Linked DNA regions of Elephas maximus indicus. The protein of the gene in region 1 interacts with the protein of each later gene in a biochemical or structural test. Links are inferred from orthologs where the notes say so. Each region holds a gene or a part of one and is shown in the gene's direction. Other genes may lie near its edges. The genes, in order: MAPT, MARK1, FYN and AKT1.

Region 1 (7,033 bases):
CAGATTTTTCAGGATTTCAGTGGGCCTCTCTTCTTGGGGGAACCTTAGAAGAGGACAATTTGTTCTCCTTATTAACCTTTGACCCCCACAGCTGTAACAGGTCTTGGGACCATCACTGATACTCATCATCTCTCTCCCCTATTATCCATTCCAGGTTCTTCTCACCCTCAGCTTTCACCTCTACTGGTCTAAGGGCTTACCTGACAGCATGACCCAGGCCATCTTCTCTGGGGGATCTCAGTTCTGGTTATGATCACCATGTCCTTCTGTGGTAGGCAGAATAATGCCCTCCCCACCAAGATGTCCACACATCCCAATCCGTGGAACCTATGCATATGCTATTTTACATGGCAAACGGACTTTGCCAAAGTGATTAAATTCAGGATCTTGAGATGGAGTGATTACCCTGGATTATCCAGGTGGGTCCAATGTAATCACGAGAGTCCCTATGGGTGAAAGGAGAGAAGAGAGTCCAAGAAAGAGATTTGAGGACAGAAGCTGAGGTCTGAATAATTCGATTGCTGGCTGGAAGCCGCACACCAAGGAATACAGGTAGCCCCTAGAGGCTGGAAAAGGCAAGGACATGGATTCTCCCCTGGAGCCTCTAGAAAGAATAAAGTTCTGTCAACATGCCATGTTTTAGTCCCATAAGACTCATTTTGGACCTCTGGTCTCCAGAACTGTACATTTGCATTGTTTTAAGCCATAAAGTTTGTGGTAATTTTTCATATCAGTGATAAAACTAATATACATTCTCAGGCTAGGATTGACGTACCTGTCCCTTAACAATCCCAGTTGATTTTAGCCCAGTGATATCTGTTACCTGAGTGAGCCATTACATTCTGGAGTCTATTTGTTACAATAGCTTAGTTTACTGTGACTAATGTAGTATGCGATTAGATCTGATGGCAGAGTTTCCTAATTCTACAGGTATCTGTATCTCAGATCTAACCCCACCTAGGACACCATTACATAAAACACTGAAGCCCAGAAAAGTTAATGAATTTGTCGAAGGTCAGACAAAATGGCTAAGATTAGGATCCAACTCTCCTGAGACCTAATCCAGTTCTCTTTCCTCTACGCCATTCTGCCTTCCATGGCTCTCTATATGCGGGCAGGGTGTGCTCCATGTGGCCAGGAGATTTCTATTTCAGCAAGGGAGAGGGTTGAGAGTATGGATGCGTTTTCTTGGCCTGAATTAGTGAAGCATTAGCTACCAACAGTGATTAAATTATCTGCAAGCAACACTCAACTCCACATTACAAACAGATGACAGATCTGCTTAAGATTGTTTCTAGCATCCATTATCTCAATTTAGTATTAGGCAAATGTGATCATTCAGTATCAGGGGACCACAATGTCACAGGTCTCTGTCAGTTTTCAATTATACTAAATTTTAGAGGAAAGAAAATGAGAAATTTGAATGGGGAGGAATATTTGGCTGCTACCATTTATTTTACGTAAAGAAATGAAGTAATGTGTAGCAAAAGCATTGATAATGATGATGAAATAATAACTACTATTTATCATTTAATGAAAGCCCACAAGAAACAAGATATCTATAATTATCTCATTTAATCCCTGAGTTGGTCAGCTTTGCTGGTGTAATAAACAAACCTAAAAATCAAGCTTCAAACTGGTTCATTCCAGTTTGAACCCCTGCTGAAAATTTGCATTTCTAACAAGTTCCCAGGCAATGCTAATGTTGCTGGTTAGGGACTGATTCTGAGAACCACTAGTAGAGCAGTGGTTCTCAAAATTTATTATACGTAAGAATCACCCAGGGATCTTGTTAAATGCAGATTCTGATTCAGTATATCTGGGGTGGAAATGTAAATTCTCAGCAGGGGTTTGAACTGGAACAAACTGGTTTGAAGACCTGCCTAAAATCTCAGCAGCTTACACAACAAATGTTTATTTCTTGTTCATGTAATACGCGCTTTCTGGCGTGTTTTCATTCTGGAACCTAGGCTGAAGAAGTAATCCTAAGGGTTCATGCCACTGTAGTGACGGAGGGGATAAGTATATATCATGTGTATCTCACATCTACTAGTTGTAGTTGCCGAAGACCACCTCGGGGCCAAGCCAAGTATCAACAGAGGAGCTGAGAGCTGGGGCAAGGCAGATCATGCAGTCATGGCTGGGGATGTATAACCCCTACAAAAGAAGAAACAATTGGGGACAATAATAAAATCTTAATCTGATAGATATTAGTCACCCCCCTTTACCCCTCCTGACACTTCCAGAGAGATGAGTAACTCTGATAAACTCCTTCCAGAAGCTGGAACTATCCCCTCCAGTTGGGGTCATTAGGGATGGATTTAGTAAACTATGAGCTAGGGTTTGAAGGACATGTTATGAGGAGGGACCAGTCCCTGGAGAAGGACATCATGCTTGGTAGAGGGTCAGCAAAAAAGAGGCAGACCCTCAAAGAGATGGATTGACACAGTGGTTGCAACAATGGGCTCAAAAATAGCAAGGATTGCGAAGATGGCGCAGGGTCAGGCAGTTTCGTCCTGTTGTACATAGGGTTCCTGTGAGTTGGAACTGACTCAATGGCACCTAACAACAACAACAAATTGTATGTCCAGAACAGCTCGGATGGTGGGAGAACAGCAATAACGTCACTTACAAAGACTTATGGAATTAGCCTCTTGTACCTATCATCATCCCCCATTGCTGCCAATAATATGTTAATCAAACCTATGGAGCCCCTGGGTGCTGCCAAAGGTTACTGCTCAGCTGCTAACTGAATGTTGGAGGTTAGAGTCCACGGAAGAAAGGCCTGGTGATTTACTTCTGAAAAATAAGCTATTGAAAACCCTGAGGACCACAGTTCTATTCTAACAAACACGGAGTTGCCATGAGTAAGAATCGACTCGACAGCAACTGGAAAAATTAAATCCGAGTTAATAAAGCATTTTCAGTGACTTGCTTTTTATATTAATCTATGATACACATTTTTTTTTTTTTTAAAGAATGTAAGCTATGCAAATAAAGTTTCAAGATAAGTTCCCACCCCCCTAGGAGGAGATGGCTGTCCCTGACCCCCTACATAGAAAGTCTCTCACTGCCAGGGCTTAATTACATTTTAGGGGATAAGGAATCCAAGTAAGGTCAGAGGCTAGGGCCTGGGGCCTGGGTTACCGGGAGAATGTGTGTATCCAGGTGAGAATCTCCAACAGGTACTTAGAAATTCAGATCTCAACTCTACTTACAGTACACGGGTGTTTCAACAAATAAAAAAAGGCTCTGCAATGTTATAAGCACCATTCGAATGTCGTCTAAATTAAGATTTTTTTCTAGGGTCAATTTATACACAATAAATTCATTATTTAAAAAAAAAAAAACTGTAATGCTGAATTAGCCAGTAAGATTTGTTAAGGGAAAATATTCACTTGGTCAATAAGAAAAAAGGTGGAAAGCAAGCAGAGAGGAAACGGGCCCAGGGAAACTGAGCTCCGACAAGGGGATCATTTCGGGAGACCCCGGGAAGAAGGGTCGGGATCACCAGGTCAGGGACAAGTAGGGCGAGCCTGGAGGAAGCCTTGGAGAGGGGTCCGGAGTGGACTCAATGGGGAGCCAGCCATGGGGACATCCACTGAGATGGGACACCGCCCCGGGATGACGGGAAGAAAGGCGGCAGTAGGTCTGGGCCCGCAGCAGCCCGCCTTGCAGCGACCGAAAAGGGTCGCCGAGCCTCCTGCCCGAGGGACGAGACCCGTCAGAAAAGACAAAGGCTCCAGCGGCGGGAGGCCGGGAGTGCGCGTGCGCCACCGAGCGCGCGTGCGCGTGGCTGTCAGTGCCGCGGCCCTAGGCATGCCGACGGCGAGGACCGGGGAAGGAAGCCGCCTAAGGATTGAGCAAGGAGGCCGGGAAAGACCGAGCGGTGGGGCGCTGGCGCGCGCCCGCTAGTGGCCGGAGGAAAAGACGCCGGCAGAGGCCTAGCTGCCCGCCCCTCCCCTGGGGAAGCTCGCGTTCCCGCTGCTCGCGCCTGCGCTGCCCGCCGGCCTCGGGAGCGCGCCCTCTCGCCGGCGCGCGCGCGCACTCGCAGTCACCGCCACCCACTGACTCCCGCACCAGCAGCACCACCACAGCCACCTTCTCCTTCTCTCCGGTCCTCGACCTCTGTCGACCAGCAGGTAAGCGCCGAGGCTCCGAAATCTGCCTACCCCTCGGCCCCGCAGCATCCCCCCGCGGCCGCCCCTCGCCCTCCGCTGCAGAGATGGGCTTCGTGCACTGGGCACCAGTGGTTGACAGAGGTGGGGCCCCTCCCTGAGCCCTCTGCGCTCTGGAGCTGGGGCTAGGGCGGCTTGGAAAGGAACTCGTGCAAAGGATGCACGCGCGCGTGTGACTGCGTGTGTGTGTGTGTGTGTGCGCTGAGGAGGGAGGGGTCCGCACGTCCGGCTTCACGCGGGCGGGGGCCGAGGCTGTGCCCGCAGGGTGGGGCGCGGATGGCGGTGGCCTGGGGAGGGGGCTGCTCTACACTCTTGAACGCCACCTTTTGCCGCAATGGGCGTATGTCTGTGTATGTGGAGGTGGGGATCCAATGACGACCCCCGAAACCGAACCTGTAATCTGATTTCTCTGCTCCCGTTTGCCAGCAGCCCTAAGGAAGGTACAGGTCTGGTTCTAGAAAAGATGACTCCCTGACTACCCCTCCCTGCGTCTCCCCAGAAGCGATTCCAATGGGGTTTCTCTGCCCCTGATTTAAGGCGGAGGCCCGCCCCCTCCCCCTTTTCTTCCTTCAGAAACCGCAGGGGACATTTGGGGGCTGGGAGTGGAATCGGAGAGATGGGGAGGGGTCCAGGAGCTGTCACTTTAGCTGCCCTTCCCCCTGTGCACTCCTGGCACCGACACAAGAGCAGCTTCGCGGATCTCAGTGTGGAGGCTCGGAAAGGCAGGGGTCACCCGGCTTTGCGATTGGACAAACTCGGCGGCCTCGGGTCCCTGCTCCTGGGCGCGCGCAGCCGCGGGCGCGCACAGCCGCAGCCGCGCGCAGCCGGGCGCGGGGGCTGCAGGTGCATTTCGGGGCGGGCCCCTTTCTCTGCGCTCTGCGCGGGGCGGCTGGCGTGTGCGCTCCCTGCCGGAGGCGCTGGGCTGGCGCGCAGGGTTCGCCCCTCACTGCGGCAGAGGGTGTGGATCCGGGTGGGAGAGGAGGAGGAGGGTGGGTTGTGCCTCCTCCTACCCACCCCCCGCTTTTTTCCCCTCAGAACGCGAGGTGCCATCTTTTTGCGGCGTACCACGTACGGTACCAAGCCAGGCTGGGTGGCTGGGCCTCGGAGGAGCAGGGCGGAGACTGCTATTTAAAGGGGGGGCAGGCAGTCGGCGCTGACATTTTGGCATTTATCCGCTGCGGGCGTGAGCACTGGGGGCGATCACCCAGGACCTTTCTCGGGGTCTCGCTGCTTTGTTTGGAGGGATTACGTGATCTGCGCTCCCAGCCCTGGATTTTAGACTTTTAGTTTATGGGGGGTGTTTCGCCAAGTCCCCTGGCCTCCCTGCCTCTTTTTTTTTCGCCCCTGCATTTCAGAGCCATTTGTTGAATCTCGGTGTCTGCCGGGATCGGTGAACCCGAGTCACAGCCTCAGGGGCACGCATGAAACGGGCATGTCCTCGCGCGGCCCCCTCCCGGAGCCCAGCCAAGCCCCAGAGGCATCCGCTGAGCTGAGGAGGTGGAATTCGAGGTGTTGGCGCACCCCGCCAGTGGCCACAGGGGGACCACGCTCCCCAGACCCGGAGCGTCCCGGGGCTCGCTCCCCAAAAGGCTGCACAGTGAGAGGTGCGGGCGACCCCATCCCCCGGGATGCAGGGGCTCGCAGGCAGGGGCTGTCTCCACTCTACTCCCTGTTGCTTCTCCCGGAGCAGATGTGTGTGGGGGGGGGAGCTTGAGGTTCTCTGGGGTGCTGCGGCCACATCCATCTTTTCCGAGTGGACTGTGGGGAGCTACGTGGGGGTTGCCATGGAAACCACACGCGACCCGGGAAGGGGCCATGGGGCGTTCTCCGCCCCTTACCCGCGAAGATTGAGGATCTGGGGAGGCCGGGGCCACGCCCCCCATCCCTTTGATGGCGCGGTGGGGTCCACGGCTCTTCCTTATTGGCCACTGGCGGCCTCAGCCACCCAGAGAGGCGTCCCTGTAGTCTTTTTATTATTATTATGGCCGTTCTGGTGACTATCGTTTTAGAAACGTGCGGGATTTTCGCATAAAAGCCCTGGTTCACTGGTGCCCTTGAAACCAGGGACGGGGGACCCCTTGCGAGCAAGTCCCAGCCTCGCCCTCGTAGTGATTACACGTGCGATGAGGCGGGCCTGCCCGGTTTCTGGTTGGTTCTGTCTCTGCAAACTGGCCTGGGGCACAGATCGAAGTAGATGGCCGAATCGTCCGCTGTGGCCGCCCAGATTGACCTGAATTCCCGGGGAATGGCTTGGATCGGAGTCCAGAGCCCACTGGGGTCAGACCGCCCCTCTGCTGCGAGGCCTCCCCGCAGAGCTGGGCCCTCGGCGGGCTGATCGAAGAGCGGCTCCAGGACCCCGGCTAGGCAGCTCTGGGGGCGGAATTCTCGTGCAGACAGAGCAAGGGTCCTGCCGCGGCCCTGGGAAAGGGGATCCGCGGCCACGGCTCCCCGTGGCGACTCGCAGACAGAGAGATGCCACCTCCTGCCTGTTGGGGGAAAAGGAACTGGCGGGGAGTAGCGCACTTAGCCCAATGCCGGGAACAAAGCGCGGTCCACGCGTCTGAGATTTCGCTCCATTATGAAATGTGTTGGTTTGATGAAGCACTCCAGCCGGCAAGGCCCGGGGGCTGCTCATGGAGGAATCTTAGGGGCCAGAGTGTGGTCCTTCGGCCGGCGATTTGTAGCGCGTTAACGAACGGCCTCACCGGGGCATCTCGAGGGATGCAGCGTTTAAACGGACGCTGAAACGCTGGGCCGGTTGCTGCGCCTCCGGAAACGTCCGGGCACGGATACAAGGGCCACCACCTCCCCGCCCCCGACCCCTAGTAGGCGGGGCTTCTCTCTTGTTCAGCGAG
Region 2 (7,730 bases), on another chromosome or scaffold:
CCCATAGGGTTTCCAAGGAGTGCCTGATTGATTCGAACTGCTGACCTTTTGGTTAGCAACCACAGCACTTAACCACTACACCACCAGGGTTTCCCCATAAAGATTACAGCCTAGAAAATCCTATGGAGCAGTTCTACTTATGGGGTTGCTATGAGTCCACATCAACTCAATGGGCACCTGACAACAACAACAACAACAATAATAATAAAGGCCCTTGATTCTTCAGTAGCTAAAGCCATCTATAGATTCCGACTCATAGCAACCCTGTGGGACAGAGTAGAACTGCCCCACAGAATTTCCAAGGAGCACCTGGTGGATTTGAACTGCCGACCTTTTGGTTAGCAGCTGTAGCCCTTAACCACTAGGCTACCAGGGTTTCCTTCAGTAGTTAAACCTCTTCATTATAAATGTTGACCTTATAAAGAAATGCTGTCCAACAAAGATATAATATAAGCCACATACATAATTTTATGTTTTTCAGTAGCAACATTTGAAAAAGTAAGAATAGTTGAAATTAATTTTAATATTTTATTTAACCAAATATATCCAAAAATATTAGCATTTCAACATGTAATCTGGTGTGTATTTCATACTTGTAGCACATCGCAACTCAGATGCTAAATTTTCATCGGAAATACTCGATATCGTAGCCCTGGTGGCATAGCAGTTAAGAGCTGCGGCTGCTAACCAAAAGGTCAGCAGTTTGAATCCACCGCCACTTCTTGGAAACCCTATGGGGCAGTTATACTCTGTCTTATAGGGTCGCTATGAGTCAGAATTGACTCAATGGCAGCAGGTTTTTTTTGGTTTTATTAAGATTTTAGAAAATTTAGATTGAAAAGCTTTTTCAAATATACTTAAAATTTTTCCAATAACTGAATCAAATGTCAGTTTTAAAATTTGAATTTTTAAAAAAATAAAATGAAAACTTCAGCCCCTTGGTTAGCTCCACGTCAAGTGCTCACTAGCCATGTACGGCTAGTGCCTACTGCGTTGGCTCGTGCAGGTCTGGAGGGCTGACGGGAGCAAAGCTCTTTTAGCACGTTTCAGTGTGTATGTTTAGCACCTTGTAGTCTTGATTTCTCTTTTATTGTCTCAGTACTTCGATTTTCTTCCGAAACTTTTATTACCCTAACACCTTAAATTAAAACAAACAAAAACCAAACCAGTTGTCCAGTTGACTCCAACTCATGGCGGCCCCATGCGTGTCAGAGCAGAACTGTGCTCCATGAGGTTGCAGTGACTGATTTTTCACAAGCAGATTACCAGGCCTTTCTTCCGACGTGCCTCTGGGTGGACTGGAACCTCTAACCCTTCAGTTAGCAGCCCACGGCATTAACCTTTTGCACCACCCAGTTAACCAAACCAAACTGAAACTATTGCCACTGAGTGGGTTCCGACTCATGTCTAGCCCACATGTTTCAGAGTAGGACTGTGCTCCATAGGGTTTTCGGTGGCTGCAATCTTTACAGAAGTAGATCACCCGGCCTTTCTTCTGCAGTGCCACTGGGTGAGTTTGTACCACCAACCTTTTGGTTAGTAGCCCAGCACAAACTATTAGCAACACCCAGTTAGAAGCCTCTGAGTTGAATATGCCACATTAGTTAACAATACTGAGGAAAATAATTCAGAATATTTCTTTTGCCATTTCTTCACAGTCACAGACACACGGAGCATTATACAGTAACAAGGCAATTTTGCTCGTGAGCGTTCATATCACTAAGGTCTGTGGCTAAGCAGTTTTAATGCGACCATAGTACTGCTTCATGTCGATTTGAGCGGAAGGGAGCTCACACATGGGGAAGCATTCAATAACTCCTCAAAAAACCCCAACGGCTTTTTTTTTTTTAACCTATACAAAGCGCATTTTCATTTTGTTTCATTATACACCGAGCCTAAAGCTATGGGTATGAAAAGGGATTATTTGAACACCATTTTTGGACAGATGGAGTTGTTTCTAGTATACTTTGCTAGCTAGAATTACGGATTTGAGTTTCCCAGTAACGACTATCTTTGAATGCAATTCCATTATTATAGAATTTTCCTTATTCCAAATTGCTTTTTTCCCAAGTGTGTTGATTTTTTAAAATAAGTATCCCTCATTGTTTATTACCTAATATTCCATAAGTTTCAATATGCGAAGGCCCGGTGTGGCCAATATAGCTAAGAGATTTGCCCAGGATTTCTCATGTACACTTGACAGTCTGCAGAAGCCACTGGGCTAGAATCCCGGTCTCTCCTTCAAGCTCTGTCTCTAATTGGCCATTGTACCTTACAGGGGTGAACCTTTGGGTCTTGTGCCTGGTGCACGATTGAACAGTGCCACATATTCCTGCTCTCTTCTTCAGTAACCTGATGCATTTGTGATCTTGAGTGAGTCAGTTGAGTGGGATTTTGTACAGTGGAAATAAATATGCCTGTGAGGGTCACCGTAAGGGTAACATTATAATAGGTGAGCGTGCTTTGAAAGGCAAAGTTCAAGTGAGCAGTTAAGGAATGATTTATATGCCAATGGGGCCGAGCCTCCTTTTACAGGTACTTGTCTATTCCCAGGTCAACACAGGTACTGTTGTAACACAAGGTACTCTTGCGTGGCTGCAGCAGTGAGTGGTGGGGCTGACACTGCGCCAGTAGCCCCTATGGGCAGCCGTGGCTCTAGTTGATCAGGGCCGTTAAAGCGCAGCCTCTGCCCTGGCAGCTTCCGTACATCTTGTTGAATCAGGACCTCCACAGAGGGAGTGTAAAAGCTTGGTATTCCCAGTTGCACACCGTAACTCAGGATGCAGCCTTACTCTTCCAAAGCCTGAATTCTGTTTGAGGAGTGGTGATGAACACCCAAAGGGTCTTGTGATTTTTATTTGCTTTGTGAAGCTGAGAAATGTTTACGAGATAAAATGCTAAATAAGTAAATACATAGACGGTGTTCTAAAAAAACAAAAAACCCAAACCCACTGCCCTGGAGTAGATGCAATCCCGACTCATAAGGACCCTGTAGGACAGGGTAGAACTGCCGCATAGGATCTACAAGGCTGTAAATCCTTCCAGAAGCTAACTGCCACATCTTTCTGCTGGGGAGCGGCTAGGGGGTTCGAACTGCCAACCTTGCCATTAGCAGCCCAGCGCTTTAACTATTGTGCTACTTCTAGAAAGGAATATATGCTGAGTGAGTTTTTTTTCCCGTCAGAGGATATTTGTATTTGCTTTTTTTAGGTCTTTTGGGACATGTTTTAAGGGTCAAGTGTTAACTTTTCAGAAACAACGTTTAATGATTCAGAATAAAAACCATCTGGTACAGAGATTCCTCCCTGACATGGAGGAACTTCAGGGGAGAGGAGGAATTTCCCATCGTCTTAAGGTTCCCATCGGAGGCTTACGGAAGTAGCTCCAAAATTGGATCTACATCCTTCTATCTATTGTTCCTTTCATCTTCCTGCCTACCCATGAAAGGAAGCGAAAAAGAAATACTGGACTAGTGAGATGGGAAGGTTTTTGTCCTGGAGGGTAAGAGCGTGCAAAATCTAAGCTCTCAAGTAAGACAGAAAGGAACACCATAGCCCTAAGGAGCTAATGGACCGTAGACCGTGCACTACAATGAGCTGCAGGAAAGGCGAGCAAGGCACCTGGAGGAGGTAGCACAGGGCCCAAATCAGGGACAGCTCTCCTCCCTCCCTACACAAGCTCGCCTCAGTGACACTTCCTTGTGTCCCAGGAAGTGACGACCAGCCAATGTAGCCTTTGTGACTCCCGGGTCTCACCCTCTCTGGGGGTGCTGTAGGGCCAGCCGTGCGACCTCTTCCGCTGGCCACCTTCCCAAGGAGGCTATGCCGTCCGGGGCGCCTCGGCGAGCTGCCTGGGCTGAGCACCCCTCCGTGGCTGCTGGCAGCACCCTTTGCCCAGCTGTTAGTGTGACCCTGAACCCCACGGCTCCCTGGAGAAGGGGACGGAGAAAGGGCGTAGACAGGACAGGGACTGAGACAGCGTGCGAACCCGGATGGAGGAGAATTTCAGAATGGGCAAAGTCCCGAGGTAGGATATAGGAGGTGTAGGATCCAGTAGGATTATACCCAGTTCTTCCCCGGTGGAACCGACAAAAAGCCGCTTCTCTGCATCAGCTCCCTCTCACCCAAACCCCGCAAAAACCAAACACGTTTAAAAATAAAATCACCAGAGGCTGAGGCGCCCGTAAACCCCGCGGGTGGGGCGAGAAGCAAAAATAAACACTGGGACTCGCGGGCCGCAGACGCGGGCGGAGGAGGGAGGCGGCCCCGCATCCCTAATGAGGGAATGAATGGAGAGGCCCCCTCGGCTGGCGCCCGCCCACCCGGCGGCGGCCGCCAAGTGCCTCTGGGCGCTGCGTGCCGCGCCCGCCGCTCCGCGCGCAGCCGGCTCGGCCGCTCCTCCCGGCAGAGGCGCGGCGGCGGGGAGCGCGGAGCGCGGCGGGACGGGCGGCCGGGACGCGGGCTCCGGGAGCGGGGGCGCCGCCGCCGTGGGCCCCGCGCGCGTGGCTGCGGCTCGGCCGGCGGCGCTGCACACCTGAGCGGGCGCGGAGCAGGGAGCGCGGCGCGGGCGGCGCTGTCAGGGCCGCGGCTCCGGGACGAGCCCGGCAGTGATTGGAGGCGCCGGCTCCCCCTCGGCCATGGCCCGGGGAGCCTAGCGGGGCCCGGACACCGCCCCCCGGCTCCGCTGCCCGCCCCCGGCCTCGGCGCCGCATCCCGCCGGCCCGCGCCGGCGCCCGCCCTCGTCCGGAGCCCGCCCTCGCTCCGGCCCGCGTCCCCCGGCGCCGCCGCCGCGGGAAGCGGCTCCCCTCCTCTCCCTCCGCGTCCTCTCTCCGCTCTCCGCCGCCGGGGCCGCTGGTTGCAGCGCCCGCGGCCTGCGGGAGCCGCTCGCCCGGCCCGGCGCCGGCCTCGAGCTCGCGTCTGCACCCCTTCCCCTCGTCCCCGGGCCCCGCACCCAGCCTGCCGGCGAGACCCCGGCCCGACCCGCCGCCCGCACAAGATGTCGGCCCGGACGCCATTGCCAACGGTGAACGAGCGGGACACGGAGAATGTGAGTAACCGGAGCCTCCCGGGAGCGGCCGGCCGAAGCCCTCCGCCGACCCCCGCTTCGCCCTCGGCCCGGCCGCTCCCCGCCCCCAGCGCGGCCACCGAGGCAGGGTCTCCACCTGAGCCCGGCGCAGCCCTCGCCCCCTGCGCAGCCCCCGCTCCTCGTCCCAGCCCCGTTTGGCTGCTTTCCCCTGAAGGGGGAGGGCGGGGGCACTGTAAGTGGCGCCCTCCCCCTCGGAGTGGTCCTCCGGCCGAGGATGGGGTGATGAGGCGGCGAGGCAGAGGAGATGGCAGAGTGGGCAGTCGGACTGCTCTCCTTCTACCCCCGCATTCTGTGTCCCCACCCGAGTAATTGTTGTACCCGAACGGACGAGCCAGCCCCCTACCTCTTCCCGGCCTTGCTTTTCTGGATCTTTCAGTTCTGGGCACCCCCACCCCCCGCATTGCCCCGTGACTTTGCTGTTTGTAACGTTGTGCCCACATGTTGGGTCGTGGGCACCCGAGAGGGAAGGTGGGGAATGGAAGGGACGGGAGTGCCAGAAGAATACGTGTGTGTTTGTGTGTGTGAGTTTATGCTGCTCTGATACTCCAGGGGGTACGAGCAGGAGAATTTCAAAGAACACCTTCTGTGGCCTTGAGGTTCCAGCAAAATGTTTAAAAGCCCTATGAAGCCAACGGCTTTTTCTCCTCACCCTCAAGTCAGTGGTGATCATTCAGGGCAGGTTTTACTTTAAATATCTCTCCTCCTTCTTGGAGTGTCTGTCACAAGGTACATTTCTTTGAAGGAAGGATTTTCTGTGTCTTTGATCACAAAGCCCTCAGGACTTTTTAATCAAGATGCAGATGTCCCCGGTGTTTAAACACTTGAAAACCCAGAGAAGGAGGTCAGGTGTATTTCCACCTTTTGAAAAGTATGATTGTATGTGTGTGTGAGTTCCTTTGGGGGAAAGATTTTTTTTTTTCTCTCATTCTTCTAAACGAAACAAAACAAACAAAACAAAGTCCTCATGACGTGTAAATAGGGCCTTTGCTGATTTTCTGACTGGCTTTAAGGAGCTAGATGGGTACTAAGTTTTGTTCGGCTCTTCAGAGCTCTCAGGTTGTCTGGTTAACTCATCAGCCCTTCAGCACTTGATGTACCAATATGGTTAGTAAAATAGAATAATGAGTGGCTTGGCATTCTTAGACAAAAGGTGTGAGAGAGAAGAGACACAAGCTCACTTTGGAAGTAGAGGGGGTATAAACAAATATTTAATCTTGGGGAGTAGGGGCGAACAGAAACGTTAGTATAATTGTAGGAAGGGAGAATTAATTTCAGCATGAGATCGTTGTAGGAATACTTCATAAGATGTTTCACAGAATGATTTTGTCATCTCTAGTGTCAGGCATTTAAAATGGTAAAAGATAGTGTAAGGCTGCCCTCAAATTATGATTTAATTTGCCTCATGACTGTTGTTTTTTAAAATATAATCGATAATTTCAATTGAGAGATTGAAGAAGGTGAGGGAAAAGATGAAAAATTTGGTTGAAGTTGATTGTAAAGCCAAGTTGGTTCAGAATTTTTCTAACAGGAGCTCTCAAAAAATTCATTTCTGTCATTTAGGAGTGTGGATGAAAAGTAAGATGATGACCTTTGTGTTTATTAGCAAATTACTGTGTGTCAGCCTAGGAGGGGTGGGAAAATGCATGGTTTTTGTGTTTTCTTTTCTTTTGGATCTTGAATAACATAGCTCTTTTTGTGTGAATAAGGGACATTATGCTGACATGAGATAGCAATATAGGAATATGCATCAAATAATCATACAAAATGAAGCATTGAATGTAAGACCAGAAAATGGGGTTTTGATCTAAGCAGTAATAGTGGGATAATTTTTTTGTGTGAGTGCCTCCTGAAAATGGTTATGTTGTATAAACTCATTTGCTCTGTTCCTGAACATGTTATTTCCAAGTCGCTATTATGGTCTCTTCTCTAGTTGTCATTGCGTTGTAGGGCAGTCCCAGGGTTACCAACATCGGATTTAGACTCACGACCCATAGTTACAAACCAGCCCCCATAAAGCCTAGTATATTAAAAATTGGAGGTACATGCAGTGATTCGTAATAACAAAAATGTGCTACTTGATCAAAACACTATAATTATTACTAGTGTATTATTATGTCAAAGGTATTTTAGTATATCCGAAAGTTTTTTTTAACATTTTTTATGCATAGAAAGGCACATTATATACTAAGACAAACAATTTGTCTAACTCAGATACGAACTGTACCTAACTGTTCCAGTTTACATTCAAATCCGACTTAAAGACAGATTTAGGAATGGAACTCGTTCATAATCTGAGGACTACCTATACTTAAATACACCTCCATGTAACTTACTTTACCCACATCATCATTTTCTCTTCTTCGCCGTGGCAAATATCTATTATACTATGAAGAAAAAAAACTATAGCTGTTAATTAATCAATAGGTATGCAGTCAGCTCTGCACTTCAGCTGGAAGGGATACAGAAGAAGTATTTAAAACAAGGCCTGTGCCTTCCAGGAGAGTACAGGAGAGAGAAATGTAATCCCAAATATAGCATACAGTAGAAGACACTCTGTACTAGGGCTAACTTGGTTTATAAGTTGTAGGTGTTTATTGAAGGGACCACGAGTGATGGCTGTTGAATCACTCTTCGTGCCTCTTTCT
Region 3 (8,008 bases), on another chromosome or scaffold:
TGTTTACCTGTGTTTTATTGACTGTGCAAAGGCATTCAACTGTGTGGATCATAGCAAATTATAGATAACATTGAGAATGGGAATTCCAGAACACTTAAGTGTGCTCATGAGCAACCTGCGCTTATACAAAGAGGCAGTCATTGGAACAGAACAAGGGGATACTGTGTGACTTAAAGTCAAGAAAGTTGTACATCAAAGTTGTATCCTTTCATTGTACTTTTTCAATCTGTATGCTTAGCAAATAATCCTAGAAGCTGGACTATATGAAGAAGAACATGGCATCAGGACTGGAGGAAGACTCCTTAATAACCTGAGATATGCAGATGACACAAACTTGTTTGCTGAAAGTGAAAAGGATTTGAAGCACTTACTGATGAAGATGAAAGACCACACCCTTCAATATGGATTACACCTCAACATAAAGAAAACAAAAATCCTTACAACTGGACCAATAAGCAACATCATGATTAATGGAGAAAAAATTGAAGTTGCCAAGGATTTCATATTACTTGTATCCACAATCAACATCCATGGAAGTAGCAGCCAAGAAATCAAAAGACGCGTTGCATTGGGCAAATCTGCTGCAGAAGGCCTCTTTTAAAGTGTTAAAAAGCAAAGATGTCACTTTAAGAACTAAGCTGCCCCAGACCCAAGCACCTAGTGTTTTCAATCGCCTCATATGCATGTGAAAGCTGGACAATGAATAAGGCAGACTGAAGAACTGACCCCTTTGAATGATGGTGTTGGGGAAGAATATTGAATATACCATGGACCTGGACTGATGGCACTGGGTTGGGTGGGTATGGACTGCCAGAAGAATGAACAAATCTGTCTTGAAAGAAGTACAGCCAGAATGCTCATTAGAAGCAAGGAGGCAAGACTTTGTCTCATATACTTTGGACATGTTATCAGGAGGGACTAGTCCCCGGAGAAGGACATCAAGTTTGGTAAAGCAGAGGGTCAATGAAAAACAGGAAACCCTCAAGGAGATGGATTGACACAGTGGCTGCAACAATGGGCTCAAGCATAATGATTATGAAGGTAGCACAGGACCAGGTTGTGTTTCCTTCTGTTGTACATAGGGTCACTGTAAGTCAGAACTGACTCCACGGTACCTAACAACAACAACAACATATAGTTGCAAGAGCTCTGCTGCTAGCCAAAATGCCAGAAGTTCAAATTTACCAGCTGCTCTTTGGAAACCCTATGGGGCAATTCTACTCTGTCCTATAGGGTTGCTATTCTGTCCTATAGGGTTGCTGAGTCAGAAAGGACTTGGGTTTGGGTTTTGGTTTATACACTTGTTCAAAGAGCCCTGGTGGTGCAATAGGTTAAGCGTTTACTGCAAAGGTCAGTAGCTGGAACCCACCAGCCTCTCCACAGGAGAAAGATGAGGCTGTCTGCTTCCGAAAAGATTACAGCCTTTGGAACCTATGGGGCAGTTCTACTCTGACCTATAGGGTCACTACAGATTGGAATCCACTCCACTGCAAAGGGTTTGGTTTTGGATACACTTGTTCAGACCATTAGCAAATTCTCTCGAGGAGGCCAAATCCATTTAAAGCTACATTTAAGAAGACCAGCAGATAAAATGATAGGCAAGAAAAGAATTGCAAAAACAGGATGAAGTCTCGATGGGAGCAAGTTAATCTATCATTTTAATTTCATTGTCTCTTCTTTTCGTCCACTAATTAGATCAAGAAGCTGCTAGAGTTGCAGAGGCTAAAAAGTGACTGAGTCCTTTTGAAGAAGTCATAAACAACGAGCTGCCTTGCCCCATGTCTTAGTCATCTAATGCTGCTATAACAGAAAAAACAGAAGCGAATGGCTTTAGCAAAGAAAAGTTTATACTCTCACAGTCCAGTAGGCTAGAAGTCTGAGTTCAGGGCACCAGCTCCAGGGGAAAGCTTTCTCTCTCTGTGGGCTCTGGAGGAAGGTCTTTGTGATGCATCAGTCTTCCTTTGGTCTGGGAACATCTCTCTGCAGGAACCTCAGGTCCAAAGGACACGCTGTGCTCCAGGTGCTGCTTTCTTGATGGTATGAGGTCCTCATATCTCTCTACTCGCTTCTTTCTTTTACATCTCAAAAGAGATTGGCTTAAAATACTACCTAATCTTATAGATTTTATCAATATAACTGCAACTAATCCATCTCATAACATCATAGCCATAGGATTTACAACACATCACATCAGATGACAAAATGGTAGACAATCATACAATACTGGGAATCATGACTTAGCCAAGTTGACAGATATTTTGGGGGGGACACAGTTCAACCCATGACACCCCACCTGCTCCAGATTTCATATAAAATAGATTGAGTCTAATGTGGAATTCCAAGGAGGACTACATCCTAACAATGATTATTCTTGTAATAGATGAGGCTAGTGTGAGATTAGGATTACTATTTCACCGATTTTATGTATGAGGACACTAAGATTCAGAAGGGTTAAGTGTCTTGGCTTATCAAGGTGCTCCCACCAGAGCACTATAGAGCTGGAATCAGAAACAACTCCATTCCTCTAGACCAGTGCAGTCCAACAGAAACAGAATGCAACCTACATCTGTTATTTTAAATTCTCTAGCAGCAATATTAAAAACATAAAAGAAACAGGTGAAATTAACTTTAATGATATATTTCTTTAGAACAGTATAAACAGATTACCATCATCTTAACATGTAACCAATATAAAAATTATTAGATATTTTACATTCTTATTTTTCATGCTAAATGTTAGAAGTCAAGCGTGTTTTTTACAGCACATCTCAATTTCCACTAGTCAAATTTTAAGTACTCAAGTACATTTCAAGTACTCATTAACCATACATATATGGCTACTTCACTGGACAGAACACCACTGTGGCGGTGGTTCTCAAGATGTGGTCTCCAGACCAGTAGCATCAGCATCCAGGAACTTGTTAGAAGTGCAAATTTTTGGGCCCCATTCCAAACACACATTATCAGACCCTCTGTGGATAGAGCCCAGAAATCTGTGTTTTAACAAGCCCATTGAGATAATTTTGATGCACCCTCAAGTTTGAGAAACATTGATCTAGACAACTGCCTCTCCAATCCCAGGCTAAATAAATCCAGGACAGTCATGGAAGTCTAAGAACTAAGGAAGAAGAGCCCCTTCTCTTGAGATACGCAATTCTTGGCTAGATGAGGTTGGCATTCTCTTGTATGGAAATCTTCTAGACCTAGCTGTGGTTCCATTTCTTGGAAGTATGGAATGAATTACCAGGCATACAATTTAAACATGGTTTTATTTTTTGCTTGTTTAAGAAGAAAAAAGCAAAAACAAAAAGTAGTAACCACTCTGTATCATCTATCCCCTTGAGTTTCTTCTCTTTTCTTCAGTTTCCTCATCCATACAATGGGGATCCTTCGATAAGTGTTAGCAACTTTAAAAAAAAAAAAAAAATTACTGAGTACAAAAAAGAAAAGAGTCAGCACAACTGATTTTTTTTTTTAATTAGTGGGCAAGAAAGGTAATATTATAGATTTTGAGCATAGAAGCAGAAGTTGATTCACTTATATTTCTTAGAGCATTAGTTTTGCTGAGAGAGGAGGGAGAGTTTTTGCCAACATCGTTAAGGAGAATGATTCTGGGCATGCCTTGAAGCAGAGCTTTCTGTAAACAGGAATTACCTATGAAGAAAATCAGGAAGCCAACGTGTTTCTTTTCATGAAGTTACATCCTGCCATAGAAAAGCTGGATAGGAAATAAAGACTGATGCACTCCACCACTGTATACTATACACCGGCTATTATTTCATCAAGGGAAACCTGAGCAAAGGCTCAGATTCAGTGTAGGGAAAAAGCCATGGAAAATCAAAGACAACCACTGGCTACAATTAAACATGATTTTGGGAAGAAATGTACAAACAAATCTCTACTCTGTGATCGTGGGTTCCTTTGTCACAGCCTCCCTCTCTCCCCGTTTCAGTAACACTTCCTCGAGATTTTTGTTTGAAAATAGAAATATGTAAGTATATCTATGAAAATGGAAGACAAATATATTAATTCCTAACTTTTTTTTTTTAGTTTTTATTATTACTGTTGTTATTATTTGCTGTGTGCGTTTCCAGGGTTCTCCCAGCTTTTCCAGTTTCTGTGGTAGAATTCTACCTTGCTCCGTACTCTTTTCAGTTTGACCAGAAGAAACGCTTTCCTACTCTAACATTTTCGCATTTTATCCTCCGACCCTTAAACAAAAAGACACCAGAAAGGCATGGCACCCCATTTTCGAGGCAGGTTCCTATGTTTGGGGGAATGGAAGATGCTAATCTGCAGTGGCATCAGCAACCTTCCATAAAGCAGAAACCGCAGCTCACACCTCCTCTCCTTTCCCCGCCCTAACCCACCACCTCACAACTCCACAATCCTTTAAAAACAAAAAACTCCTCCAACCTCTCATCCCGTCGCACACCCCACAACGGCACGCACGCCAGGATGCCGGCTGCCACAGTAACGCTGTACCCACTCGGCCGCCCCACCCACTGCGGTCCCGCCCCCGCCCCAGGAACCAATGGTCGCCGCCCGCAGCTCTCAAGGGGCCCTTTGATTGGGGAGCGGGGGCTGCCACTCTCACGGCGCGTCCCGCCCCCTCCTCGCCTCCCTCCCGGGCTGGAGGGGCGCGAGCATCAGCGGGAGTAGCTGCGAGCAGGCGGTGCGTCTTTGCAGTTGCGCCATCTGTCAGGAGCGGAGCCGGCGGGGAGGGGGCTGCCGTGGGAGAGGAGGAGGGGTCGCCGCGAGCCGAGGGCCTCCGAGACCCGCCCGCCCGCCCGCCGGCCTCGGAGCAGAGGCCAGGCTGCTCTCCGAGCCGCGCGTCCTCCGCCGTCCGGGCGCGCGGCGCTTCTCCCCGCGCACCGAGGGCTCCCGGGCTCACACAAAGCCGCCGCCCGCGCCACAGAGGGACCCGGCGGCCGGGCCGGGGAACCCCGGCGCCGCCCCTCTGCTCTCTCGGAAGGCGCCCCGGCTCCGGGACCAGCCGAGTAGCCGCCGGAGCCGCCTTGGCCGCGCCGGAGGAGGGCGGGGAGAGGACCATGTGAATGGGCTCCGGAGCCTGAGCGCCGCGCAGGTAAGCGGCCGAGGATGCGCGCGGGAAGCAGTGGGGATGCTGCGGGGCCGCCCGGCCTTCGGCGCCCCGGTTCCGCGCCCCCCCGCCGCGGGGCCCCGCGCTGCAGTCCCTCGGCCGCCGCCGCCTCCCGGCCTCTCCGCGGGCTGCCGGGGAGCTGGCCGTGCTCGGGGACTTCCCGCGGCCAAGCGGGAGGACACCTCTGCGGAGGGCGCCGCGGGGCAGCGCAGGGATGGGGGCCCATTTCCCAGCCCGCGAGCCGGCGCCGAGTGAGAATAGGAATTGGCTTGGGGGCGAGGCTGGCCGGGACTCGGGCTCCGCCCCCGCCCTCCTTTCAGGGCCCCTCGCGGGAACCAGGGCTGTGTGTGTTGTTTTAATGTCAGCGATGATGTAATCACTTAATAATTGATGCCCCGTGCTGCTTCCCTCCCCACCCCACCCCACCCCACCCCACCCCTGCCCCACTCCACCTCTCGGCCTCCTCCTCCCTCTGCGGCCGTCTCCTTCCCCTTCGCATCCTTCTGCCTATTTCTGGCACCTCCCTTGTACTTCCCCCATCCTCCCCTTCACTCTTCCTGTGCCACCACCCACCCACCCACCCACCCTTCCTCTTCCCCTGTGCTGGAGCCTTCCCTCCTCTTTCTCTGCCCCCTACTCCTGCTGTTCCCTCAAGCTTCTTTCTCCCTTCGCCGATCGCTGTATTTCCTCTCCGCTTCCCTGGATCGATGGCTGTTTTTTTTGTTTGGTCGCCTCCCTTCTCTTATCTCTGCGGCCACAGGCGGAGATGACTGGACCAGAAAGAGGCCACCGAGCTTGGGTCCAGGGAGGAGAATTGCTAAGACTCGTTGAGAAGAGGGATAATAAAATCACCCTTCTTGTCCCTCCTCCCCCAGTAAATCACACAGGCTCCCCGGGTGTGTGTGTGTATGTGTGACACAAAGGGCTCTTTCAGTGCACAGAGAAGAGACACACAAAGTACCCAAGGATGGGCCCGATGCTTCTTGTTTCTCTTCCCTAGGGCTTCGCTTTCGCTCAGATGAAGCAGTTGATCTTCTTTGTGAGAGTCTTTCCTGCCACATTTACCAAAAAATAAAAGGCCCCAGATGCAGGGTGGCAGGTGCCGGCATTTTGCTGTGTTCATGGGGCATTTTACTGTGTTCACGGACCGGCAGTGTTGACTGGCAGCTGCAGCGTTTCCTAGATTCAAGGAGAAAATGATTACAGCAGTCTTTTAAGAGTTGCTTTAGTGTTCTAGGTAGCTCCACCTTCTTTTTTTGAAATTGGGTACCATGAGTTGGGGTTCGATAAGTTGGCGTGGGAGCAGAAGAATTTTGTTTCTAAGTCAGAAAATTAAATTGGTGTTTGATAAGAGCGATGCAGCCTGACTTGCTGCTTCTCCCAAGTCTAAGGCCACTGCGCTGAAGTCTTTTGAAAAGGAATCTTGTCTGCCCAGTGATGCTGGTTTACCATTAGGTTTAAATAAGTACCTAGGGACATTAATAAAACAGCATTGAATTGGCATTTGGAAGACTGCTGGAGACTGTCTCTTCCCTGCTTCAGGGTAGCCTTCAGACGCCCACATCCTTCCTCACACCCCCAAGCAACTGCAATACTTTCCACCCTTTGTGCTCTCTTTCTACCCAGTCCCTGCCCCATGGGTACTGTGATTTCTGATGAAGAGACCCACGGACTTTCAGAGGAAGTGGTTTGTTAACTATCTAAGGCTTTGGGGACAGTGAGATATGAACAGGGATATAGAGAATCTTTTGACTGAACTCTAAACCATCTGCTTGACGTTCCTCTTAAAGAGGAAATGGTAATATAAATCTGGGGGCTTATGTTCCATTTTGTAAGCCAGTGATTATTTCATGCTTAGTGGATAGTGTCAAAGCTGAGGTTGAACGTGTTGACTCCTAGGAACATGGCTCCTTGACTGTTATAAGTAATGGAACAAGTTTATTCTTAAAGACTTTTACTAGGAAGGAGCTGTTACGGTTCATTAAACGTTTACTTCTGCATTTTCTAAGGACATTCATCGTGGAACTTTTACATTAGAAAAAGCAATGGGTTAATGAGTGTATTATAAAGACAAAGGGTTGTTTGTTTGATTCCAGACCCAGGAAGGAGAGTCAGTGCACAATAAACTCACACTCTTTTGACCAAGTTAAAGAGACTTCTTGCATAAGGCTGAGTGTGAACAAAACCACACTCTGCTTTCTGTGTTTTTGCTCCATGCTTTCTCCTGGGTCTGAAATCCCCAACCCCATCTGACTTGCTTAGCAAAGTCCTATTTAACTTTCAGGGCCCAGCTTAAATGTCATCTCTTCTGTGAAGCCTTCCGTATTTTATATCATCCAAACAAGTTATCGTGCCTCCTCTGTATCCGTCCACCCCGAACTATTTTATTTTCAAGCTTCAATAGCAGACATTATGTTTGGTGTGTGTGTTTCCACCATTGCTTGGTCAGCACATCGTGAAAAGGAACCTGGCCTTATTTATCTTGTCTCTTATCAAGTGGTACCTCAGTAGTTTCTAGTGTGAATTAGTCTTTGGTATGTGTTAAAAAAAAAAAAAAAGTAGGCACTGCATATTAATTAGGCTCATGTTAGTAGGTTTGACAGATCACTACCACTAGTTGTCGCTGAGTCGACTCCAACTCATGGTGACCCCATGTGTGTCAGAGCTGAACTGTGCTCCATAGCATTTTCAATGGCTGGTTTTTCAGAAGTAGATCACCAGGCCTTTCTTCCAAGGCACTTCTGGGTGGAATCAAACCTTCAACCTTTCATTAGCAGTCAAGCACATTAACCATTTTCATTACCCAGGGATTCCATTTAGCAAGTAACCCAAAACCCACTGCCCCCCCTAATATAATGGCTCAAAAGCAATAGACTTTTATTCTTTCTCATGTTCAGAATGGGTATT
Region 4 (7,850 bases), on another chromosome or scaffold:
CGGGGCGGGGGTCGCGGGGCCCGGGGTGCAGGGCGCGTCCCCCCAGCCGCTCGCCCCGCCCCGGAGGGAGAGGACTCGAGGCCGGGGCTAGAGGGGGCGGACCCAGGCGACTTCCCGGAGCGGCGGAACCGCTGAGGTCACCTCGCCGCCCCTTCCCTGCCCGCCCCCCTGCCGCCCCGCCCGGATGGGGCCCGCGGGGCGGGGGCGGGGCGCGGCGGGGAGGGGACCCTCTCGCGATACTTGCCGCCTCGGCCTCGTGTCGCCCTGAGGTCCTGGCCGCGCCCGGCCGCAAAGGGTCCCCCTCCGAGGGCCATCCCCTCCCCCAGTCCGCTCTGGGACAGTCACCCGAGGGCGCAGCCCGGACCGCAGCCTCCTGGCAGCACGCGGGGAGCCAGGGCTGGGATCGGGGAGGGGGCGCGTGGGGGGCAGGGCTGTAAACTGAAACGACTTCATCCCTTCGTGGGAAGTCTTCTTGTGAATTTATGTCATCTCAGGTGGGACACTCGTCCGCACACTCACGTGGGATCTCGACCTTGGCGGCCCAGAGCATGGACACCCACCCCGCAGCAGGTCCTAGCGAGCCTCTACTGCTGCCAAGGCGGCATGGGGTACAGGACACGTCCCAGCAAAACGGGGTGGGGTGGAATCGGAGGGAGGCCCTAGCGCCTTGGAAGCCCAGGGCAGGCAGGAAAGTCTGGGGGGTGGGGAGTGGCAGCCGCGGGAGGGAGTCGGCACCCAGGGGGCTGGGCGTTCCAGGTGGGAGGAGCCGGCGTGAAGGTGTGAGAGACACCCGGGTCTGTGGGAGATGGAAACCCCCACAGAAAAGGGTGGGGGTTGAAGAGGTTGGGGTCCCACTGGGAGGTGCTGCTGGTCAAGGACCTGACCAGGAGTGCCCTCGACCGGACCCATTTGGAGGCACCGGCTAAGCTGTCTGTCCCCACCACTCATGTCATTCTCGAGATCACTCAATCCTGTGCTCGTCCAACTCCGGTTTTGGTGGGAGGTTAGGTGAGGGGCCCAGGGCCACACAGTGGAGGGGAAGCCCCAAACCATGGTTCTAATCTGGGCAGCCTGGTTCTGAGTCCCACTCTGCACTTCATGGAGCCCAGGAGGTGAAGAGGGTGGTGTGGTTATCCAGACCCGGGTAGGGGCTGCGCTGGAGGAGGGACCAGGTTAGAAGGATGGACCCCCGCCCAGTGGATCTGGGGAGAGGAAGTAGTGGGAGAAGTCAGGAGCCTGGGGGGATGAGGTGAACAGCTGTGATTTGTGGACCCGCCAGGAGGGACCAGAGCAAGGGGAGGGGTCTGGTTGGAAGCCAGTGGTTTGGGGGCCTGAGGGGCTCTGGGACTCAGCAATGTGATAGACCTGAGTGCGGTTTTTATCTCCTGTGTGTGGAAAGAAAGCACAAACTTGTACTAAAACTCTGAACTTAAAATCCGTCCCAGTGGCCTGTGTTTTTATGTGCTAAATCTGGCAGCTGTAGCTTCCAACCCTGGAGTCACTTGCCCGAAAGAGCAGAGGGGCAGCAGTGCCCTGGCCCCATCGCCCTCCAGTCTGGGGACACCTCCCTCAGTCCGTTGAAATAGCCCTGCCCCCTGCCTCAGCCTTCAGCAGGAAGAGCTGAATTCAAAGTCAAGTTCAGAGTGGGACAAGCCTACCTCTGCGCCACCGGGCCTGGGATAAGACCCTTGGAAGCTCTTTGAATCTGCCAAATGGGAATGAGTGCCCCTCAGGGGGTCTTTGTGCAGATTAAATGCCTTGCGAGGCAGGTAGCAGGCTCTTCCAGAAGGTTGTTCCCCAGTTAGTCCTTCCTGGCTCTTCAGTGGTCTGTATTCCCATGTCATCTCCTGCTGGTTGAGATCAACCTCCCCAGCGCCGGTCTGCACTGCCCATCCCTCTGCCTTGGTCTTCTTTGGGGACTTCATGTCATGGATCTGTACATCTGTGGTCTCCTGTTCCCCTGCCCGCTGAAAGGTACCATTTTGTTCACTGTCAAATCTCTCCCTGGTGTGGAGATTGTGGCTCCTGGCCACCTTGCCTGTGCTGCTTCCTTTGGCCCTCGCCCCTGTGCCCAAGGGGGAGGAGGGAGGCCCCTCTACGGGGCTCTGACAGCCCCTCTTCAGGCCTGGGAGTGAGGCCCTGGGGTGGGGTGGGGGCGAGCTGAGCAGGACAAGGAGCTCCTTTGGGACCTGACGGGTTGTGGGGTGCGGGGCGGGGAGGTCAAGGCAGGTGGGGACCTGCCTGCAGGAACCCTGGGCTGGGTTGGAGGAGGCAAGGACTTTACTGATTAGGGGAGAGTGGGAGAGAAGCCCGGCATGCTGAAAGTCTGAGTTCAAAGCCCCCGTAGTGGGGGAGGGACTGTCCAAGAAGTCCAGGTGTCAAGGCTACCACCATGTGCCCCATGGGCATCAGGTACCCGCTGGCCTTGGACCTCGGATCCTTTCCCAGGTGGGTGAGGTCCGGGCATGACAGGAGGCCGAGAACCCCAGTCAGTGGTCAGTGGGCGGCCCAGGCAGAGCCTCCTGAGACGCAACGCGCAGGCTGGGCCACCATCTGGCCTGGGGACTGCCCAGAGGCCCCGCCCTGCAGCTGCCACCAAGACTAGCAGCAGCCTGGCTGCCTGCCCCGCGAGGTGCCCCCTGACGGCCAGCAGCTGCAGGGGTGACAGGGCAGGAGGCCTGCTCTGGGAGGGGCAGGTGGAGTGTCCTCCAGAGGGGAGGGTGTGAGGCAGTTCTTGATGGAAACATCTGGCCAAGGAGCCCTAGGTGGCCTGGCAGTGGCCAGTGGAGTTAGACGGAGCTTTGCTCTCTTGTTGTAATTGGGGAGGGGGCCGTCCTTCCCTCGAGGAGGCCAGAGGAGGTGGGACTGGCCTGCCTGCTGGAGTGCCAAGTCATGGGGGAGACAGGCCCAGGCAGAGGTGCACATGAGCTGGGGCAGTGCTCAGGGCTGGAACAGGCGGGAGGCCTCTTGGGGCCCCACCAGCCGCTGGGATATTGTGGATCCCTGTGATGAAGCCATTTCCCAAATGGCCAGTGGATGAGTGGCCTGAGGAATCACACCTCTTCCGCGACAGGGCACCCTCCTGCCCTGGCAGTGCTTACCTGGCCTGCCCAGGCTCAGCGGGTTCCCCTCCTCCACCTCTGCTGAGCCCCGAGGGGGTGAGGGGACAGGTAGGACGTTCCTCCTGAGATGGGGAGCAGTGTCCAGGTGGGACAGAGGAACCTAGGGGACCACATGAGTGTTTGTTGGGTGAATGGTGAGTGATGGACAGACGTGGGACCCGCCGGCTCTGGGGGATCCTTGGTCAGCATCCAGCCCAGGCAACAGAGACCTATGACTTGGGCCCCTGGATGCAGGGCCCTGCCCGGAGTCTACATGGTCTGAGCTGGGACAGCTGTACTGGGGGGAAGGGGGAAGAGGGAGGGTCGGAGGTGCTAAGGGGAGAGGCTGGGAGCTGGGAGCCCCCTGCCCTTCTCTGAGGGGCGTCCTACCCTTGTCCAGCCCCGAGGGGCAGGGGTGGATCCATATCTCTGCTGTGGACAGAGCCTCGTCCCGGGCACACGGCTGGCTACACCTGGCTGCAGGTGAGCCTCTGGCCAGAGTGAGTGTCCACACCTCCCTCCAGCCCGGGCTGAACTCTGACCCTGGATGAAAAACAAAAATGACCCCCCCCCACCCAAATACTTACCACCCCTGATGGTGGCTCCTAAGAGTCTTCCTTTCACAAAAGGGTTGTTATCGACTGGAGGCCTCGGGGTGGGGAGTCAGTTGGAGAAACTGGCCCAGAGAACAAGTGTCTGCAGGTGAGTCATCCAGGTGTTCCCAGTCTGCGGGGAGGGGGCTTGGGCCCCAAGGCATAGGACACTACACGGGGCCCCCCTCTGGGCTGTGAGCCATCCCAACCATCACAGCCCTTCTCTTGAGTCTGTACCCCCTTCACCACAAGAGCCCCAGTTCCTCTGGGTGTCTGCCTCCAGCTCAGGACCGGGTGGCCAGACAGGTATGAGGAATGAAGCCCATGAGCTGGGAGGTGCTGGTTGGATGTCCTCTATCTGGGCCCTGAGACCCCTTTTCTCCCCTGTCACCACGCAGAACCCCCTCCTTCATTCCCTTTTGGAACTACCCGCTTCAGTCTCTTCCTCCTAGGGGGGCTGCTGGAAGCCCCTTGTAGGCACTGAGGGCCTGGCTCCGGTTAATGGAGGCCCAGATCATGGCCAGGGGCACGGTGGGCCTTCAACACACAGGAATGTCAGCCTCCCCCCAAAGCCTGTCCAAACTCCAGCCCGCATTCAAGGCCCGCCTCAAACAGGACTTCCTGGGGCCCCCATCCCGCTGGACAGGGCTGCTGGAACGGGGCCTCTCTGGACATTCTTGTCCCCCCTTCAGGGTGGGGCTGGGCCCGAGGGCACCGCTGACAGTCAAACCGACGCCCCCCACGGAGGCAGATCCCCAGGATTCGTCCCTGACCTTCCTCCCCCGCCCGTCCTAACAGGGTCATGGCAGTTCCGGGCCGGGAAGTGCGGGCGCACTTTGCAAACAGGGAAACTGAGGTCGGAAGGACGGTGCCGGAGAGGCTGGCCCCGCAGCGGGCGCCGGAGGGCTGCTTCCTCGGCCGGGCGCGCTGGGGCGGCCGGCGGGGGCGGCGGAGGCGGATGTGGGCGGGCGGCTCCGGGAGGCGCGGGGCGGGGAGAGGGCGGGTCGCGGCGCGGGCGGCGGTAGGACCGAGCGCGGCGGGCGGCCCGGCCCAGCGCACAGCCCGGAGCACCGAGCGGCCGGAGCACCGAGCCCGCGGCGGCTCCGCGAGGCCGCCAGCACAGCGCCGCCCGCCCGCGGCCGCGGCCCCAGCCCGGACCTGCCCCGCGCCGGGCCGCGGCGGGCGGGGATGCGGAGCGGCGGGCGCCGGAGGCCGCGGCCCGGCTAGGCCCCGCTCGCTGGCGCCCGACGCGCGGCCCGGTGAGTCCCGCCGCGGCCCGGATGCGCCCCGCGCGGGGCTTTGTTCGCGCCGGCGGGCGGGCGGGCGGGCCGGAACGGCGCGGAGCAGGAAGTGGCCGGGAGCGCGCGGCCTGGCGCGGAGGGCGCGGGGCGGCCGGGAGGGAGGCGCCCACGCCGGCCCGGGGCGCGGGCCGGGTCCCCGCATGACCTTGGGGCCGGGCCGGGCCGGGAGAGGGGGCCCGCCTGCGCGGCCGGGGGTCGGGGCGCGGGGCTCTGGGCGCGCGGCCAGCAGGCGCGACGCGCAGCGGGGGCGCAGGCGGCCTGGGGGAAGGTTCGGCCCGCCGCCGCGTCCGCGTCTGTGGGTGGGCCGCGGGAAGAAGGGCTCGTTTTCCCAGAGACAAAGTTGCCCGTGGTGGCCGGGTGCCCAGGCCAGCCCACAAAGGCTCCTAACCTCTCCCGGGCCCGACCTTCCCTCCAGGCCCCGGACCGGCTTCCTGTCCCGAGTGGGTGCGGGGGCACTGCCCACCCATCCCAGGGCCGGGCCTGGAGGGCAACTGGGGCTTGTCGCCTCACATTGGGGCTCCCTGAGGGAGCTGGGCATCTTCCTCCTGGCTCTGAGTGCTGCCCTCCTGGGCAGGGCGGGGGCTGTGCTCCGTGGCCTCAGGGCCCCCACATTTACTCCGCGCGGGGGGCCCCAGCCTTGCTCCAAGTGGCCGCTGTTGACTGATCTGAGCCCCTGGTCCACGTGTAGGGCGGGTGCTGCAGTGGGGGCTTGGTTCCCCGCCCCCCAGCTGAACACACAGTTCAAAACCTAGCATTCTCTGGCGGGGCAGGGGGAGCCTCTTCCTAGCCCAGGTTGTTTTTTTTTTAAAGTGTGACTTAAACAATAACAACAGCAGTAGCAATAACACGGCTTCCCTGAGACAGTCGCGGCAGCACATGTATGGTGGATCCCTCCGCCCGCTGGCCTGGCTCAGAGCTGTCCGGTGGCTGGTTTGGGGCGCACATTCTCAGTGTCGACACACCACCCTGTGAGTGCACAGATGTATTTTTACACACTGGAGCCCCGAGCTCTCAGCAGCTGTCTGACTTTGTCAGCACAGGCCCTGGGGCCGGCTCCCTTCGGGGCTCAGGCGCAAGGCGGGCACGGAGAGGTCTTTGAGTCCAGCCCCTGCCTCCAGGCCATGCCCCCTCCGGTCCGAGATCCCTAGCCGTGGGTTTCATAGAGCCGTTTGTGCCCCTCCTCTTTCCTGGTCATATCTTTATCAGCCTCTCTTCTGAGCACCGCAGGTGGACCTGCTGAGTCCCAGCAGCTACTGCTCAGATGGATGGAGGGCGGGGGGGTGGGGGTGGGGGTGGGGGTGGCTTCTCTGCCCTGATATCACATGGCATGAGGTTTTTTTTTGCTGTTTTCAATTTAGCTTAAGACAATCAGTGCAAAGCTACCAGGCCCTGCCGTGGGGTGAGCTGGTGCCCAAGTGGGGATCAGTTCCATAGAGGTCCTCTGCCCAGCCTGGTGGTCCCTGAGGAGTCTCCCAGGCCCACTTTGGGAGTGCCCATCTGGAAGGGTAGCAGAGGACTGCTCACAGGACGATCGTGTCAAGTGCCCTTTCCTGGGATGCCCAGAGTGGGTGACGTGGGAGCTGGGTTTTGAGGGATGCCTAGGAGTTCGTCCAACAGGGGTGAGGGGGGAGGGGGGAGAGCATGCAGGATCAATGGCTGAAGTGTCTACTCCAGTGAGGTCTGGCTGGTGGGCTGCTGTGGATGGGCGCCAGTGCCACTGCTGTTTGTGCAGTCCCCCCACCCCCCTATTTGTTGCCTCCTGAATGCTATAATTATGGGTCTGTAACCACCCTGGACTGGGTGCTCCTTGCCGACAGGGTCTGTCTGAACCTCTCTTTGTCCCAAGCCCCAGCACTGGGCCTGGCAAAACCAGAGATGCCTGGTACCTGGCGACAGGATGAATGAGCCAGATTCAGACGGACAGGAGCGTTGTGGTTTAGGAGGGGCCTGGGGGTTTTCAGGGGAGGTTTTCCATGTCTCCTGGGGCAGCTCTGGGCTCTCATTTTCACAAGTTGCCTGCACTCCTGGCCCTGCCTTTGTTACGTTTGACCTTTTCTCCTTTCCAGGTCTCAGGGACAGGGAGGAGGGGCCCTGTGCCCTGCCCCAGGGACCCCAGCCTGTGGGCAGAAACCCCATGGGCCAGGAGAACAGACAGGGTACCCGTGATCAGGGGCTTGGGGAGGCATGGGCTGAAGCAGTCCGAAGGGCTGCCTGGAGGAGGCGACCTCTCAGCTGGGTTGGCAGGTTAGGGAAGCTGGATAAGCCAGAGGGCCTTTGGGAGATGGGAGTGATTTGTACAAGGGCCAGGGGAGGTGGGGGCAACAGAGGGGACGGTGGTGGGGGGATGGCAGTGGGGTCTGATCTTCAAGAAGGGTGGGTCAGGCTGGCGGGCAAGAGATGAGCCAGCTGCTGAGATCACGGGGACAGAGGAGCCGGCCTCACGCAGGTCCCTTGTCTTGCAGTGGCTGTGGGCACCGCCAGGGCTTGGAGACCTGCCTAGGAGGAGCAGCTGAGTGTCGTGGGGTCCCCACCGGAGCCCAGCACCATGAACGACGTGGCCATTGTGAAGGAGGGGTGGCTGCACAAGAGAGGTCAGTACACCCCCTGTGGGGCTGGGGGCTATGCGTGCCCTGGGGGCTGGGGTTGGAAGGCACCATGGGTGGCACGTGATGCCTGGGGATTGAGGGGCTCCTCCCCAGGGATTGTCCTGGGCCCAGCTTAGCGTGTCGGCATGGAGGGCCCAGCCGGAGATGAGGGGCAGTGAGGCCCCACTTAGCGTGTAGCCGGAGAGGGCGGCCTCTGAGTGGCGTCCTGGCTGGGGCATGGGGTGGGAGAGCTGCTGCCAGCTTGCCTCC

Evidence for each region.
Region 2: of the proteins of MAPT (region 1) and MARK1, one has a biochemical effect on the other in vitro, tested with the Homo sapiens proteins (4 studies listed by BioGRID). The link is inferred for Elephas maximus indicus from reciprocal best matches to the Homo sapiens genes MAPT and MARK1.
Region 3: of the proteins of MAPT (region 1) and FYN, one has a biochemical effect on the other in vitro, tested with the Homo sapiens proteins (10 studies listed by BioGRID and IntAct, with this or other methods). The link is inferred for Elephas maximus indicus from reciprocal best matches to the Homo sapiens genes MAPT and FYN.
Region 4: of the proteins of MAPT (region 1) and AKT1, one has a biochemical effect on the other in vitro, tested with the Homo sapiens proteins (3 studies listed by BioGRID and IntAct). The link is inferred for Elephas maximus indicus from reciprocal best matches to the Homo sapiens genes MAPT and AKT1.

What each region holds. Positions count from the first base shown.
Region 1 is NC_064837.1:52,646,421-52,653,453, forward strand, and holds the start of MAPT (microtubule-associated protein tau), read left to right. Parts: upstream 1-4,019; 5' UTR 4,020-4,142; intron 4,143-7,033. UniProt on the Homo sapiens protein: Promotes microtubule assembly and stability, and might be involved in the establishment and maintenance of neuronal polarity.
Region 2 is NC_064842.1:10,067,631-10,075,360, forward strand, and holds the start of MARK1 (serine/threonine-protein kinase MARK1), read left to right. Parts: upstream 1-4,729; 5' UTR 4,730-4,995; coding exon 4,996-5,046; intron 5,047-7,730. UniProt on the Homo sapiens protein: Serine/threonine-protein kinase. Involved in cell polarity and microtubule dynamics regulation. Phosphorylates DCX, MAP2 and MAP4. Phosphorylates the microtubule-associated protein MAPT/TAU.
Region 3 is NC_064819.1:177,871,776-177,879,783, reverse strand, and holds the start of FYN (tyrosine-protein kinase Fyn), read left to right. Parts: upstream 1-4,995; 5' UTR 4,996-5,086; intron 5,087-8,008. UniProt on the Homo sapiens protein: Non-receptor tyrosine-protein kinase that plays a role in many biological processes including regulation of cell growth and survival, cell adhesion, integrin-mediated signaling, cytoskeletal remodeling, cell motility, immune response and axon guidance.
Region 4 is NC_064828.1:119,089,314-119,097,163, reverse strand, and holds the start of AKT1 (RAC-alpha serine/threonine-protein kinase), read left to right. Parts: upstream 1-4,848; 5' UTR 4,849-4,953; intron 4,954-6,335; exon of another isoform or gene 6,336-7,239; intron 7,240-7,457; 5' UTR 7,458-7,540; coding exon 7,541-7,586; intron 7,587-7,850. UniProt on the Homo sapiens protein: AKT1 is one of 3 closely related serine/threonine-protein kinases (AKT1, AKT2 and AKT3) called the AKT kinase, and which regulate many processes including metabolism, proliferation, cell survival, growth and angiogenesis.